2 linked regions of the Drosophila melanogaster genome follow. Changing the gene in region 2 together with the main gene of any one other region gives a genetic interaction. Each region holds a gene or a part of one and is shown on either strand. Other genes may lie near its edges.

Region 1 (6,733 bases), on a different chromosome or scaffold from region 2:
ACAGATTTCAATCAGATCAGACTAGATGAGCAATTATTTTGGTGGTCAGTAACCATTGTTCTCCGTTTGCAGTCCCTCAAGCCGAAATTCCCGCAGTACGAGAGCCTGAATGTGCAGATCAAGGGCTACGACTACCCGCAGCTGGAGAGCTACCAGAGGTTTCTGCACGGATTGGCCGAGTACCTGGACTTGGACGTCTCCGACTGCTACGCCCTCCCTCCGCAAAAGACCACGGTGCAGCGACTGCGGCCCAACTCCACGGTCATCGAATCGGAGTACAAGCTGACCACCTACGAGCGCAACCTGCAGCTGAACAATGTGGATGCGCCAGTCTATCCGCAGTTCTTGCGCCTGGCCCAGGCGGCGCTGCCCGAGGGTGTGAGCTTGCAGGTGCAGGAGTACACCGACGACTGCGAGGAGCGGCGCTACGTGCCCGACAAGGAGCTGCTCGACCTGAAGGACGAGCTGGAGCGCATGGGCGGACCCACCACCACCAGGAAGAAGTAGGCGGCGCCTCCGATTTGGCAAACATTTAATGCTTAGCTTTAATGAGTAACCTGTGTAAAGAGTATAGAGAACCTATGAGTAAAACTTTCCTATTTAAAGCTTTGCACTAACTGGGACGGCAATAGTTTAGCCGCCGTTTACAGAAGTTAATATTCTAATACAATTTCACGTGTCTCTTTTATTTTTGATCTGTCCTTTAGCTTGGTTCAACAGCGACTGACTGCCGCGCTCTCTGCAGAGTGGCGAGTCGATTAGTCGATAAGTTTCTCGATAATATTTGTATGTTAAGGATGGGTGTATGAGTGTATAAGCTTATGACTAGATTGGCTATGTATAATTAGGTATGTATGACTAAGAGTAAAGGAAGAGGGTAGAAGGAGCAGCCTACTACAATAGTTACAAACGATTGGAAGACGCAGCGCTTAACCGTTGTGTGGTGTACGCCTGGGAATTGCACTATGAATTATTAGACCACGCCGAAGTGGACCACCTTGATGGACGACGAGGAGGAGGAGGAGTTGCCGCCCTTGCTGCTGCTCTTGGGTTCTTCCTCGCGTCGTCGGATGGGCGGCTTAGTCACATCTGCGAAGAAATGACACGGTCAATGGGGCAAGGTTATTGGTGAACTCAACAAATACCCACTGGTCGTAATGGGGTTGAAATCCTTTAGATACTCGTCGTTCGGATGACAGAGCGGCAGGCTGTCTGCGAGCTCCTTTTTAGGATTTGTCAGATGTCGCGCAGCGGGCCTGGAGTAACCATTTCTCTTGGGTGGCATTGGCTTTTCCTTGCGAGGAATTTCCTGTTCGAGTAAGAGCATTAGTAAACTGTCACATCATCGATTGATTTGTTAACTCACTGGCACCACCGCCACTTGAATTGTATCCGAGAACTTGACTTTGTTCTTTTCGGCCGTTTGTGACTTTGCGGGCGTGGCGGGTGCTTCTCCGTTGGTGGGTGCTGGATTCGCCGGGTTGGACAATATGGATGCGGTGGGTTTCTTTTGCAGCAGGCGCTTCTGGTAGTCCTCGCTGGTGAGCGATGGCAGCATGGCGGGAATATTGCCAGAGACAAGCGGATGTTGATAAAACTTGGGCTGATAGGACCCTGTCGGCGGAGGCGAAGCTGGCATCGTGCTGAACTGACCCAGCTGGGCGCTCTGATCTGGAATGTTTGAAGGCGGAAGACGAGGAAGTGGACTACTAGCCATAGGCAGACCCACCGTCTGATCCGGCACGTCCTGGGACCACAAATTGCCTGAAATAATGGATAAATTATTTAAGTTATGAAGGGAATTTTCTTCACACGAACCATTTGGATGCAGACTCTTTGCGGGCGCCTGCTGCAGACTACTGTTGGACTTCAGGGTTAGACTCGCCAGCGAAGATGTTGGCGGCGCTATTGAAACCTTCGGCAAGGGCGGCCTCAGTTCCGGTTTCGGTATGTTGATCTTGATCATCTCAGCGTTGAATACCTTCGACTTGAACGAGGGCAGCGGTGGCACATAGTTCTTCAGGACCTGCTGGCTTTGTGGCTGACTTGCGCCTAGTCCGGTTTCGGGGGCAGTTCCTGCTCCCTGACCGCGCAACATGTCCGAGCAGGTGGACAGCGAACAGGCCGACTCCGAGCGCAGGTCACAGGTCAGGCTGAGATTGCCGTTGGCGCGATCTTCCTCGTGGATTATGGCAGCTGCCTGACTGAAGGCCACCTGGGCGAACTCACTCAGGCTTGAGATGCACTTGGTTAGGTTGTACAGGTCCATGAAGATGTCATAGTCGGCCACATCCTGGGCGATTTCGAAGGCCTCAGCGAAGAGGTTTTTGCTGCAAGCAACGAAAGGATTGAGCATAAAAGTGGCATGTTCACACGAGCTCAACTCACCGCAGCAGATAGAAGCAGAAGCGGCGCTTCAGATCGTACACCTGATCGCTGAACTCGTCCTTCGTCTCCTCGGAAAGCGTGTGGGCGAATGTCTTCAACGCTCTGGCCATCAGCTCGATGCGAGGTCGTCGCTGGTCACCGCCGAAGAACACATAGTTGGCTATCTTGTGCAGCGTAATCAGGCACATGGCTCCGTAGGTCTCCCAGTTGAGGGCGGCCAGGACATTGACCGCTCTGTCCGGCTGCTGCAGCCGCAGATACTTGTCCGCAATGACGTCCGCAGTGAGTCCGGAATTGTGGATGTCGCCGCGCATTCCGGTGCCGCCAAAGATGCGCATGCAGGCCAAAGGTCCCTGTTCGTACACCAGCAGCAGCAGGCAATCCGTCTGGGCGTAGGTGTGCTTAAAAGTGGACAAATCTGGCTTTCGGCTGAAGGCGACACTCAGCAGCGTTGGCTGGGCCACGAAGTAGTGCGACAGATCCAGCAAGCTGGACGGCGTCACATTCTCGCTAACCAGCTGATGGCCAATGGTGGCCAGCGCCAGGTCGAAGCACTGCAGCACCGATCGCTCGTTGGCCACGCAAAGCATGGCGGAGTCGCAGTGCCAGGCGCACTGATTGGGCACGATCTCAATCTGGTTGGCGTACTTTGTCGACTGCTGGACCAGGTCGTGCAGGCAGATATTGCGATCGACGCTGCCCAGGAAGAGCTTCTCCTGGTCGGGGCTGAAGGCAAAGGAGCAGATCTGGGCGCCCATTGGAATGGAGGTAATGGCGGTGCGCTGCATCTTGCCGGCGGCCAGTTCGTAGGAGCAGATTTCTGCGCTTATGTCGCCCTTGCGGGAAACCTTCTGCTCCAGGGTGATGATCTGGCTCTCGCTGCTTCGCAGGAAGTCCACGCACAGCGGATCGTTCTCCGACCAGCAATAGGCAATCGATTCCAGCTGCAAGCTGAGCAAAGCGATTAGACTGGGCCATGGAGTGGGAGTTGTACTGTGCAACTTACCCCTTGATCTTGAACACATGTATGTTGGCACGATCTTGGTCCCTTATCGTTGGCCTCCAGGGATACACCTCGTTCTGCGAGGACTGCGTCCAAACCACGAACAGATCGAAGCTGGCGTTAACTGTGAGGTGGCGGGATAGTTTGCGCTCTGTGGCGCCCGGTATGATCACGTGGAAGATGCGCGGATCCATATTGGCGATCTTCTCCGGTCCCTGGGAGCGAGCATTAGGCCTCTGCAGATGCACCACCGTCAGCTGGTTGGTATTGTAGGCCAAGACGATGTGGGAACGGGTGAAAAAAGCTGGCGAGACAACGGATGCGGGCGCACGACGAGAAAAGAGACACAAGCGACAAAGCTGAATGAGTGGCTCGAACAAAACATGGAAAGCCGGAGGATGGTGGATGGGGGAAAGGGGTTGGGGGTTCGCATATTTACAGGCAACAAAACAAGCCAGCAGATTAATTAAAAATTACAATAATTGCATGCCCTGCATGTGTGCGTGCGGCTGTGTTGGTGTGGGAAAGTGCAAATCAAGTCGCACTTGTTGCCAATGCAAATTTCTCCATAACTGCACAAGCAGCACTCCGCGGAGCAAGGCCAAATGCGGACTGCACTCTATCGAATGACTGATACCCTGGATGACAAGCGGCAAACAGCACAAAGAACTAAATGCAGGACAGCTTTTATAGCTGAGAGCTTAGTGAATAATTAAATGGCATGCATGTGTTTCTAGCAAGCTGTCTTGGTAATTCGTTCTAATGATGAGGAACCTTTAATTACGCCTGAAATAGCCATTATGTATTGCGTGATGTTAACGCATATTAACTGATTTTCGAACGCTGCAAGTTGAGATGTCTGCCAGTCGAGCTGCACATGCAGAAATGCAATGCCCAAGCTGATTGATGGATGGCTCTAATGCGATGGAGGGCGGGCTGGAGCGGGTGAAAGGAGAGAATCGCACATACCATCCGTAATGACCTCGGAGGCGAGCTTGCCCACCAGGTACTTCTCGAAGACCATGCGCAGAATGTCGCCCGTGTAGATGTCCACGCAGATGTGGGCGATCAGGCCGTGTGAGAAGAGGAGCAGCACCTGCGCCGCGTCCTGCCACTCGGAGTGGATGATCCTGTGCTGGCGCAGCAGGTCCTCCAGCTTCTTGAGGTTGTCCTTCAAGCGGCCGGTGGACTTGCGACCAGAGTTCTTCAGCACGGCCAGTCCATTGCGACGCTCCGTATAGTCTCGCTTGGCCAGGCAGGCGAGGTCCTGCTGCTCCTGCTCCTTGTCGCGCTGCCTGAGGTAGCGAAAGGCGCCCAGGTCCTGGCTCTTGATCCGCACCACATCCTCGCGCAACGTGGTCCAGAAATGGGTCTCGCTGAGCAGCATATTCAGGCCTCCAGTGCATCGATTTGCATGGCGGAATGATGGGTGTCAACGCGACTCGATCAGCTCGATCTCGATTTGTTGGCGTGTGCCTTTCAAGCTGCTCCAATTGCACTGATTGCTTTGTATCGGGGTTAATTGCGCTGCTCTATGACTGCTCTGCGACTCGTTATCAAGGTTGCTCGCGGAATAGCCAACGAATTAGCACTTTGGCCAGGATTTTTCGCTTTAAACAAACTTTGTTTATGAAAATAAAATAAACTTGTTGCTCGAAACACTGCTTACGTTACTAGAGACGGCACTTTGTTACGTCGCTGAGCGTGGTGGTGGCGTGATATAGATGGACTACAACTGCGATCGCTCACGTGGTGGAGATCTTCGATGGAGCACATAGGTTGTGAACCAGGCTATGCTATGTTTTTAGCACGTACCCGAACCAGGATCTAAATTTTTGAAATTCAGAAAAATAAAATATTTACAATAAGCTACCACTACTTTCGCAGTGTAGTAGCTAGCCAATAAATCACTTTAATTTAGTTGTGCGAAATCGTATTATCTTGGCCAAATCGGCTTATCTCATCTCACTTTTATGGGCGGCAGTCTGGTTAGCCAAGATGAACTATGTTCGACTGCAGACGATTGTTAAGATAAGATAATGTACATATATATTAAATGGGAAACGAGTGGGTTATTTTTAAACAAAATTGTTGTATTTATTGATTTCACCATCAAATCGGATTGCAATCAATTATTCACAGTGGTTTCCTTAGTTCTTTGCTCATTATCAGTGAAATACGTTTTGCGTGGAGGGGGGGGGGATAACTAACTAACTAGCTAACTAATGGACTAAATAAACAGCAAAAATTGTATCAATATAGTTAAAGTAATATAGTAGAGTAATGATAACTAAATCGTATATCGCATTTGAGGAAACTTAACGGAAACTTTTACAGTTTACGAATCGGATCGGTCGGCTTTATATCTATATATATATATATTTAGCGGCATCTACTGGCAACTGCGGCCGATTCAACATTTTGTGCTTACAACTAAGAAAACTACGCCAGCGAACTCACTCTTTAACTATTTACAATGCACTCTGAGCGAATCGAGTCCTATGTACACTATATTATCCAAGTATCAACCACATTTATACACTCAATATATATTGTAACTTTAACTAAATAGCAGCCTTTTCAAATTTTGATAACGTTTCGCCCTGCGGTGGCATACCACATCCTTCTGTGGCATGCAGCAAGTGGGTTTAGGGTGTGGATGGTGCACTTCGATCCTGGTGCGTGTTTCCCATTATTGGTTTTTTCTTTGTTTGCTTCTTTTTTTTTTTCGATTGGTTGGCCAACGTTCAACGTCTAACGTCTTAAGTCTATCGAGTTCGTTTCATATCTGACTTAGAAGCTAGTTAACTAAGAATTTGCGCTCGTTGGTTTGGATCGTTTAAAAACGAGGGATAAAATTACATAAAGTTGCAGCAGTCGCGTCTACATATGCACAGATTGGGTTACTCCTTCTCCAGTCCTTTGAAAGGCATCTAAAAGTCGTAGAACTCGTTCGATTTGTTGTTGAAGCGCCGCGTGAGCACATAGACGACCGCCTCATAGGTGGCCATCATGATCGCCGTGTTGGGAATCTGTCGCACCAGCTGCGTGGCCAAGCCTCTGTGGAAATAGTTGGTAAAGTTTACAATTAGTAGGAGAATTTGCTAAGGTAGAGCTCTCATATATAAAACACCTCGAGTGAGCACGCTCGAGAGTGATAATCAAATTAAGGTAAACAAACAAAAAATATGCGACGCAAAAGAATTTAAATAGATTTCACGAATTCGTGGGTGGCACATTATGATAATTCATTAGCTTATATGTATATGTTTCTTATATACATGTCGGAGTGCAAGTGGGATTCCCTTCGATTCTATTTCAAGACGGATTCAAGGGAACTAC
Region 2 (7,616 bases):
TTTGATACCTCTGCCAGTAGGGAGTCATTGATGACGGTGTTGTTGTGCGTCTGATTGCGAATGCGTTTGATAATGTACTCGATTAGTTCGTGATCCGGTGCCAGTTCTATGCTGGTCCCTGGTCCTGATCCCGAGCCAGAGGCTTGTTCTAGTTTTCCCTCGAGGATTTGCTGGTAAGGAAGACGCAATTATGAGTTAATCGATCCAGTTTACGAAAGCCTTTCTTACCTCTTCGTTCTCGGTCCTAAGAGAAGAGATAACAGCAGAAGCACTGTCCTCCATTTCATCCAGGTGCTGCCCGTTCTGTGGATTGGACAAACTTAGCTGCTTCACTGGCGTTCCTTTTTCGTCCTCGGGCCGATCGTTGTCTAGCTGCAGACGCATTACCTCTAGCGGGGTTTCACTGCGACTCTCGGTGGCCTCGGCGTCGCCAGTAGGTTCGTTCTCCTCCTGGTTAAGAGCCTTTCGCAAGCCGTGTGGTTCATGTGAGTGCTGCAGCTGCTGATTTTGTTGCTGTTGTTGTTGCTGCTGCTGCTGCTGCTGCTCGAAGAGTGTCTCCAGCCGGCGGTAGACATCCTCCTTGATTGATTCATAAAACTTTGTGGTGAACTTGTCGTTCTTCAGAGCGTTAACCAGCAGATTTCGATTCAGTTCCTCGGAGGCCGTTTCCTCGGTTTGCTCCATGGCATTTGATTCGTCCGCGGGCGATGCTTCTTGTCCGAGCGTAGGAGTAGTGTCCACTGGAGTAATCTGGGGTAGCTCGATGTAGTCCATGTAGTGAGCTGGAAGTTCGAAGTCGAAACGAAGATGTCGCTGCTGCAGAGGAGTAAGCGACACAGTCGAAGTGGTGGGCTTTGCTGGTACCTTGTTCCGCTGATACAGCGGACTGTTGCCATAGTTTACGTTCATGTTGAGATTGGAGGAGCTAGCCTGCTCGGACTCATCATCCCGCAGCGTGGAAAGCTGAGGACGGCGACGATTGCGACGTCGACCCGAGCCGAATATGACGTTATCATGGTTCTCCTCCACCTCGTCCACATCCTCATCGTCGTGGTCGCGAATGTGGCCTGCATCATCGCGCCAGTCCCTTTTTCTGCCCGAACTGCCGCTGTTGTTGAGATTATTGCTGCCATTGGAGCTGCTGCCATGCAAAGCGGTTAGTGGCGCCTCGAAAAAGTGACGACGCTGCTGCTGGTGGGTCAAACCACCACGCGTAGTAGGCGGAAGCAACTGGGGCGGCTGAAAGTAGCTGGGACGTGCCCGTTGTCGCCGATACTGCTGGAGGTCCACGTTCAGCTCCTCGTTGCTTTTATTTGATAAGAGATTTTGGCGCGAATGGCTGGAAGAGCGTACAGATATTAATGGGTTAATGCAAGCGGGTAGCAAAGAATCATGCAGTTGATAAACTAGCTAAATCTAGTGAGCGTTACTAAGTTAAGTTTTTCTATTCCATATATCCTTTTTAAATTGAATACACATCTTTTATAAATTAGCTTTGTTTACTGCCGAATAGGCACTTGCAAAACTTGGTCAGTACTTGGAGTTAGTCTTGGTTAGTCACTTTCAACTCTGTTAATGGGACACTTATCTGCAACGCGTGGTCGCACTTACCGGTGCACAGAATTGAAAATTAACTCTTCACAATAGTTTTATTTAATTTTTATTGCTTTTGACCCTTTTCCATCAAACAACCATTAATAAATCCAACACCAAAGTTATAAAGCATTACCTGCGGAAGTTGTCCCAGTAGTTGTTGGCTCTGTTTCCGGGTGGTACTTGATTGTTCAATGTAATACCGCCACCAGGTGCTCCTCCACCAGCTGCTCCCTCGGGCAGCGAGTGCAGATTGTTGGCATGCTGGTTCTGGGTTCGCAGATTCGAGTTGTTCTGATGTATCGTGTTGTTATGGTGGTTCATGAAGATGGGACCTGGACTTGAGCGGTAAGTAGGCGGCGACAGGGGTGTCTCGTTGTTGAAGTGCGTCGGCGGTGGCGGGGGAGCAGCATTGTTAAGGAACGGCTGCGCCTGATGCTGCTGCTGTTGATGATGATGCGATTCTGCCCCGCTACGATGACAGCTGCGCTGATAGTTACTAAAGGCGCTCTGGTGGGCACCAAAGTTAAATAGCTGCTCAGATTGAGCTCGACTGCTGCCCAGGCACAGATTGTTGGGCATCTGACCCATTCCAGGGCCCACCGGAGGCGGTACTGATTCCGAGCGCAAGCCGAAGCTGTGATCCTGGCATGCTACAACATTAAATCGATCCTGGAGCTGTGAAAAAACACTTGAATTAGTCTTTGATTAGGCTCTCTAATCTCATGGATTGTCTTACCGCATGTAGCTGGTGGTTGAGGTTGTCGATTTCGCGCTGTTGATGCCACAGTGCCTGGTTGCACTGGCACACAGAGTTGATAAGCATTTGCTGCGTCTGCATGAACTGCTGCAGCAGAACTGCGTCGGTAGAGGCATTCGATCCGGATCCATTTGAGGAGCCCCCTTGTTGGGCGGCTGGCAGCTTTTTAAACTCTGTGCCGGCACTGGAGCTCGGCTGACCGTAGACGGGCTGCTGTCCATGCCACGAACTTCCAGAGTTGTGTGATGCTGCTAGCGGATGCATAAAAATAAGCGTAAAACGAGGAAACTAATACATGAATTCAAGTTGGTAAAGTAAAGTTGGTAAATTTCCGCCTTTGTTGGTGGAATTAAAAACGTACCCCACATTCCAGGCACTGGTTGCATGGGGGGCGGCATGTACTGCGATCTATTGCTGCTGGATGGTATGCTGTCATTACCCAGGGATAGCGTATCAAGTGTCACATTCAGGTCATCTTCGTTTAGCGTCGACGGAGGAGCAGGCGGCGGTGGTGGTGGTGCCTGCTGTGGGGGAACGTTAGGTTGCTGACCTCGTCGTTGCTCCACCACTGTGTTGGCGGATGGAGCCCTCTTTAGGGTCGCTGAGGAAGCGGTACGTACGTTGGCGAAGTACTTATCGCTGTCAGTGTCGTCGTTTGCCTCGTCATCCGCCTCCGATGTGGTGTTGTTACTGGCTACGTAACGCTGCTCCAGTTCCCGCTGCTTCTGCTCGTATTCCGTTCGCAGGCGCTCGCACTGCGAGCGCAGTTCATCGCGCAGTTGTTCCTTGGTGGGCGTAGCCTGAAGAGAATTATCCACTTCGGATGGATCCTCTTCCTCGGTCATCCGCTGTCTCATGGGGGTGGGTGTTGGGGTAAGACTGCTTCTTTTAAGTGCATCATCGCCCATTTGAACAGCGGCGGCCGCCTGTTGTTTGCGTCGCTCAATCTCTGCCTTCAGGGCTAGGATACGGTCACGCTCCTTTTGCAAGCTTGCTGCTTCCGCTCTCAGTTCGCTCGTAACATCGTTCAGAGCGAATACGCGCTGGGCAATCTCGGCCGGCAATTCGCGCTCCACGCTAGTTCTTTCCTCACTACGCCGCTCTAAGGTGGAGCCCATGCTGGGAGTACTTTCTTCAATCTGGCTAACAGTGTACAGCATTCCCTTTAGTCTCGCCATCTGAGCCTTGAGTGCTTCTATATCTGCCGTCTTCTGGTTGATCATTGCCTGTGCGTGAAGTGCCCGTTGAGCAGCGTTGGCCGCCTCCTGGCGTATGATGGGTACGTTTCTCTGATACTCCACAGGAACAACACGCTCCTTGGGAGCCGCTGGGGCAGCCTCCTCTGGCTTGGGAGGAGGCGTGGGAGTCTCCTCTTTCTCTTTGATGACTCTAGCAGTCTCCCTGGCCGCACGGTTGATGCTGTTTAGTTCGTCCACCAGATTGCGCATATCCTCACGTTGGGTGCGCAGTGATTCCAGTTTCTCCTGCAGGGCTTCCTGCTCGGCCAGGATCTCGGGCCCATCATCGCCAAGCACCGTGCTCAGTTCGTTCTGGTTGTGTATAAAGGCGGTGAGATTCTTCATGCGCCCCACCAGCGACGCCATGTCGTCCTGTACCTGCTGCACGGACTCGTATTTGGGGGCCTCTCCCCCATTGACATTGTGGGGTAAGCTATCGGCTTGCTGGCGCAGCCGCTCCATCTCGTTAAGGTGAGTCTTGGCCAAATTTTGGATTTGTAACAGCTTCGCCTGTTCGTCGTGCAGGTGCTGCATGTTCCTATTGGAGGCTTCCAAGCGCTGCTGCAACTCATCGAAGCTGGGCGTGGTATCGGGCGTGGGCGTTTCCAAGACGCTGTGTAGGGACTGAATGGATTGGGCGCGGTTGTCGCTCATCTGAAAGGTACAAATGGTTTGAGTACTAGAAGGCAGACTTTTGGTTTTATTAACCAACTAACCTCGCTTAATGCAACATCCTCCAAGCTGGTCGAATTGACTACGCCTTCACCCTGATCCGAATTTGGGTTGATTTCGTGCACCATGTTGTTCGTCTGGGGCAAGAATTAAAGGATTTAGTTTCATTTATTATTACGATATAAAAAATGTTATTATCAATCTTATAAATGTTATAAATGTACGGCTCACTTGAAGTTCCTGACACAAGCTTTCAAACTCACCTCTACAACTTTCCTACTCGGTTGATATCTGCTATTCAGGTTCTCGTCTAATCCTAGCAGGGCGCGTAACACGTCAACCTGCGAGCGAAAACCTTCGGTTCTGGGAGCAAAATGGTGTACACCAAGAAGTCGGTGAACGAGTTGTTGCAGTCCAGCGGGGGTCAGTGGCGGTGCCTGCTCCTCGTTGCCACTCAAATTGCCGTTTCCGTTGCTGGTAGTTGCGTTCGGTATGACCACACCTACTGTGGCATTCGGAGGCGTCGATTGACGCAAACGCAGCAAAGCCGTCGAAGATGAGGGGGCGCCTGTGCTATTAGCTGACGAGGATGGCTGGTGCTGAACCCTCTGGACAGGACGGACGGGGAATCGATAGCGCTGCTGCTGTTCCTGCAGTTGCTCTGTAATGGAAAATAGCCAAAGATCAGTATGGATGTTTAGGTCCATTGCTAAATACTGCGCTGCGAACTACATCATCTCAGTGGGCGTTTATTTTCGTGCGCATCTTATTTATAGAACATGAACTGGCGCACCGATCTCTGTGTGGGCCAGGCCGATCACTTTGCCAGGTGCGGATATTGGAAATTGCTCAATTAAATGTGTATATTCCTCAACGGTTTCAGGACCCATTACCTGCTGTATCGTAGTTGCCGTGTTCGGCGGCCAACTGACGCAGTGCCTCGCGCTGCTGTTGCTGTTGTGCAGGCGACCTGTGATCCTTGCTAGACAGATGCTGCTCCGCCGGCGATCGATTCTTGGCGTTGGTGATGCGTGCTCGCTGGAGGAGATCCTTTAAGCAACAGTAAATGAAGATTAGCAGGAAAACCAGCACGAGGATTGCGGTAATTTTGCTGATTTTAGGTCTATATATATATATCTATTTCAGATATATATATATATATGTATAAGGGCGCTGCTCTGGCCGATCGAAATTCGTTGTCCGCAGTGGTTGAGTTCGCATTCGCTACTGAGCCAGCGGCTAACGAATTTCCGCAGGTCGCGATGAGTGTAAAGTGTATTTATAAAACCAAGAAGAGAAAGGTCTTGGTGTCTTCTCTTCGAGAAGATTTGCCATGGCAACCAGACGTCCGTCTAACTTACATTCAGAGTTTTCAGCGTCTCCCGCTGCAGCGTCTCTGGCTCGACAAGTTCCATGTCCGGTTCGCCCAGGTGCTCCTGCTGCCGGCGAGAGCGGGCCGACCGGCTGGATGTCACAGATGCACTCGACCCGGACGTGGGTGCTCCGTTTACAGGCGTTTGTTGTTTAGGCACCGCACCGGTTGCCCCGCCCACCGAGTTGTTGTTGCTGCTGCCATTGCTGCGGGCGCTGGCGTTGGCTTGGTCCACAACTACCTTGGGCGGCGGCGCCATTAGAAAATATATATATATATATTTGCGTACAAAAAACGACGCTACAAAATTGAAAAAACTCCTCTTTTTTGTACTCCCACTTTGTTTTTTTGCTTTGCGCACTCTGACAGCTGTTCCCAACCAGGGCTGGAAGCTAGTTAACAAGCCTACCAAGTTATGGTCACACTGGCAGCGGACGTTTTTTGAAATCGAATGTTTTCTAAAATTCAAAAATAAATATTATTTTTAGTTTAAAATAAAATGTATATCTGTAAAAAGTATTTTAAATGCTTTTGGTGTAGATAAACTAACGTTACTTGGTAATTTGATATCTTTTAAGGATAATTATTTATTTGGAGATTACTTTATAATATGTTCCTTGGATAATAAACATTATATGACTAGAGCCATTTTCCCTTTCAAGTTTGGACGTGCCTACTTTCCCTGCTTGCGCTGGATGATGTCCTCCTTGAGCGCACGAATCCGATCCCTCTCCGCCCGGAGTCCCACCGCTTGACCGCGTAGATCACTGGTGAAGTCCGTGAACATGTTAAGCATGGAATTCAGGAGCTCGGCGTTATCGGGAGCACTCGACGAGGTCGATGGATTCTCTTCTTGGGCACTCTCTACGGCCTCGCTGGCCACTCGGACTTCTGACGAGGTGGTCTGCCTGCTGGTCTGAACGGAGGTGGAGCTCTGGACCTGTACCGTTTGCCTGGAGGACATGTGCTCCTCGATCATCTTGGTGGTGTCCACCATGTTCTGCACGCGCTTAAACTGCGCCTTCAGGTTGGCGATCTCGTTTAGCTTCTCCTGCAGATAACTGGCCTGCTCCTCTTTGTCCTCCCCGCCCTCTTCCTCACCAGATGGTGCCTCTTCCCGGTTTGTGAACTCTCCAGAAGCACTGGCGGATGAAGCAACTGTTACTGTCTCCGATGAGGATTCAACGTGGGACTGAACCTCCTCCTCCTCGGTGGACTGCCGCACTTGTCGGCGCTGGGCATTCAGAAGGGTCAGCTCAGCGGCTCGTAAGCGCAGTGTCTCCATCTCCTCAAGCAACTGGCGGTGCTCCTCCTGCATCTCTTGCAGCTGTCTGTTGGAAGCAGCTAGGCGCTTAAAAAATACAAATAATTAGTTTTGAAAGCTTCAATAATGAAAAAATTGGTTTAAAAACATCATAGTTCAAAGACTACATTAGGGCATCAAAAGAAAAATGATTTTGTATATTATTATTAAAAAACTCTATTTTTTAGCTCACTGGTATAGAAAAAGCTTCGTACTTAAATTTCATTTCAACTGAAACATCTAGAGACTGTAGGCTTATTGGTGTGACTCATTCATTTTGTTGTCTAAAAAGAATGTGTCACGGTATTTATTTAACTTTACTGACTGTGTTTTCTTATTGTTTTAAAACACTTAAATACTAAGAGTTTTGCAATTTCCCGAAGACTCCAGCTTACCTCGCTCAAGGCGGCATTGTCCCCATTTTGAGGCCTATTCAGTTCGTTGACCATTTTCTGGGTTCCTGAGGAGAAGAGGGAATACTTGGTGTTATGTATATCGTGCACGTTGATTATTTTCTCAATACAAACAAAGGCCCATCGCAAGGCACTGTCTATAAATAAATGGCTCTTTGTTAAATTATTTTTCAGTTAGAATAGTGTCAGTCATCTTGGCATTTTTGAAGACAAAACTAACAAGTGCACTTATGAAAATGTACACCACAATACACCACATATATTA

What was found. A genetic interaction does not mean that the proteins touch.
Region 1: of cmb (region 2) and frtz, changing one enhances a phenotype caused by changing the other (phenotypic enhancement), as found in Drosophila melanogaster (one study listed by BioGRID).

What each region holds. Positions count from the first base shown.
Region 1 is NT_033779.5:1,710,779-1,717,511, forward strand, and holds frtz (fritz), read right to left. Parts: upstream 5,074-6,733; 5' UTR 4,779-5,073; coding exon 4,361-4,778; intron 3,696-4,360; coding exon 3,395-3,695; intron 3,340-3,394; coding exon 2,389-3,339; intron 2,331-2,388; coding exon 1,819-2,330; intron 1,765-1,818; coding exon 1,367-1,764; intron 1,310-1,366; coding exon 1,150-1,309; intron 1,090-1,149; coding exon 974-1,089; 3' UTR 524-973; downstream 1-523. Other genes in the region: mRpL48 (mitochondrial ribosomal protein L48), read left to right, coding at 73-507; Rim2 (replication in mitochondria 2), read right to left, coding at 6,325-6,451. UniProt on the Drosophila melanogaster protein: Probable effector of the planar cell polarity signaling pathway which regulates the septin cytoskeleton in both ciliogenesis and collective cell movements. Functions cell autonomously to regulate wing cell hair polarity and number.
Region 2 is NT_037436.4:13,440,997-13,448,612, reverse strand, and holds the start of cmb (combover), read right to left. Parts: upstream 6,020-7,616; 5' UTR 5,895-6,019; coding exon 5,625-5,894; intron 5,495-5,624; exon of another isoform or gene 5,314-5,494; coding exon 5,157-5,313; intron 4,925-5,156; coding exon 4,527-4,924; intron 4,401-4,526; coding exon 4,308-4,400; intron 4,246-4,307; coding exon 2,715-4,245; intron 2,605-2,714; coding exon of another isoform or gene 2,602-2,604; coding exon 2,333-2,601; intron 2,272-2,332; coding exon 1,730-2,271; coding exon of another isoform or gene 1,726-1,729; exon of another isoform or gene 1,652-1,725; intron 1,340-1,651; coding exon 229-1,339; intron 171-228; coding exon 1-170. Other genes in the region: CG14109 (uncharacterized protein), read right to left, coding at 6,309-6,986, 7,334-7,387.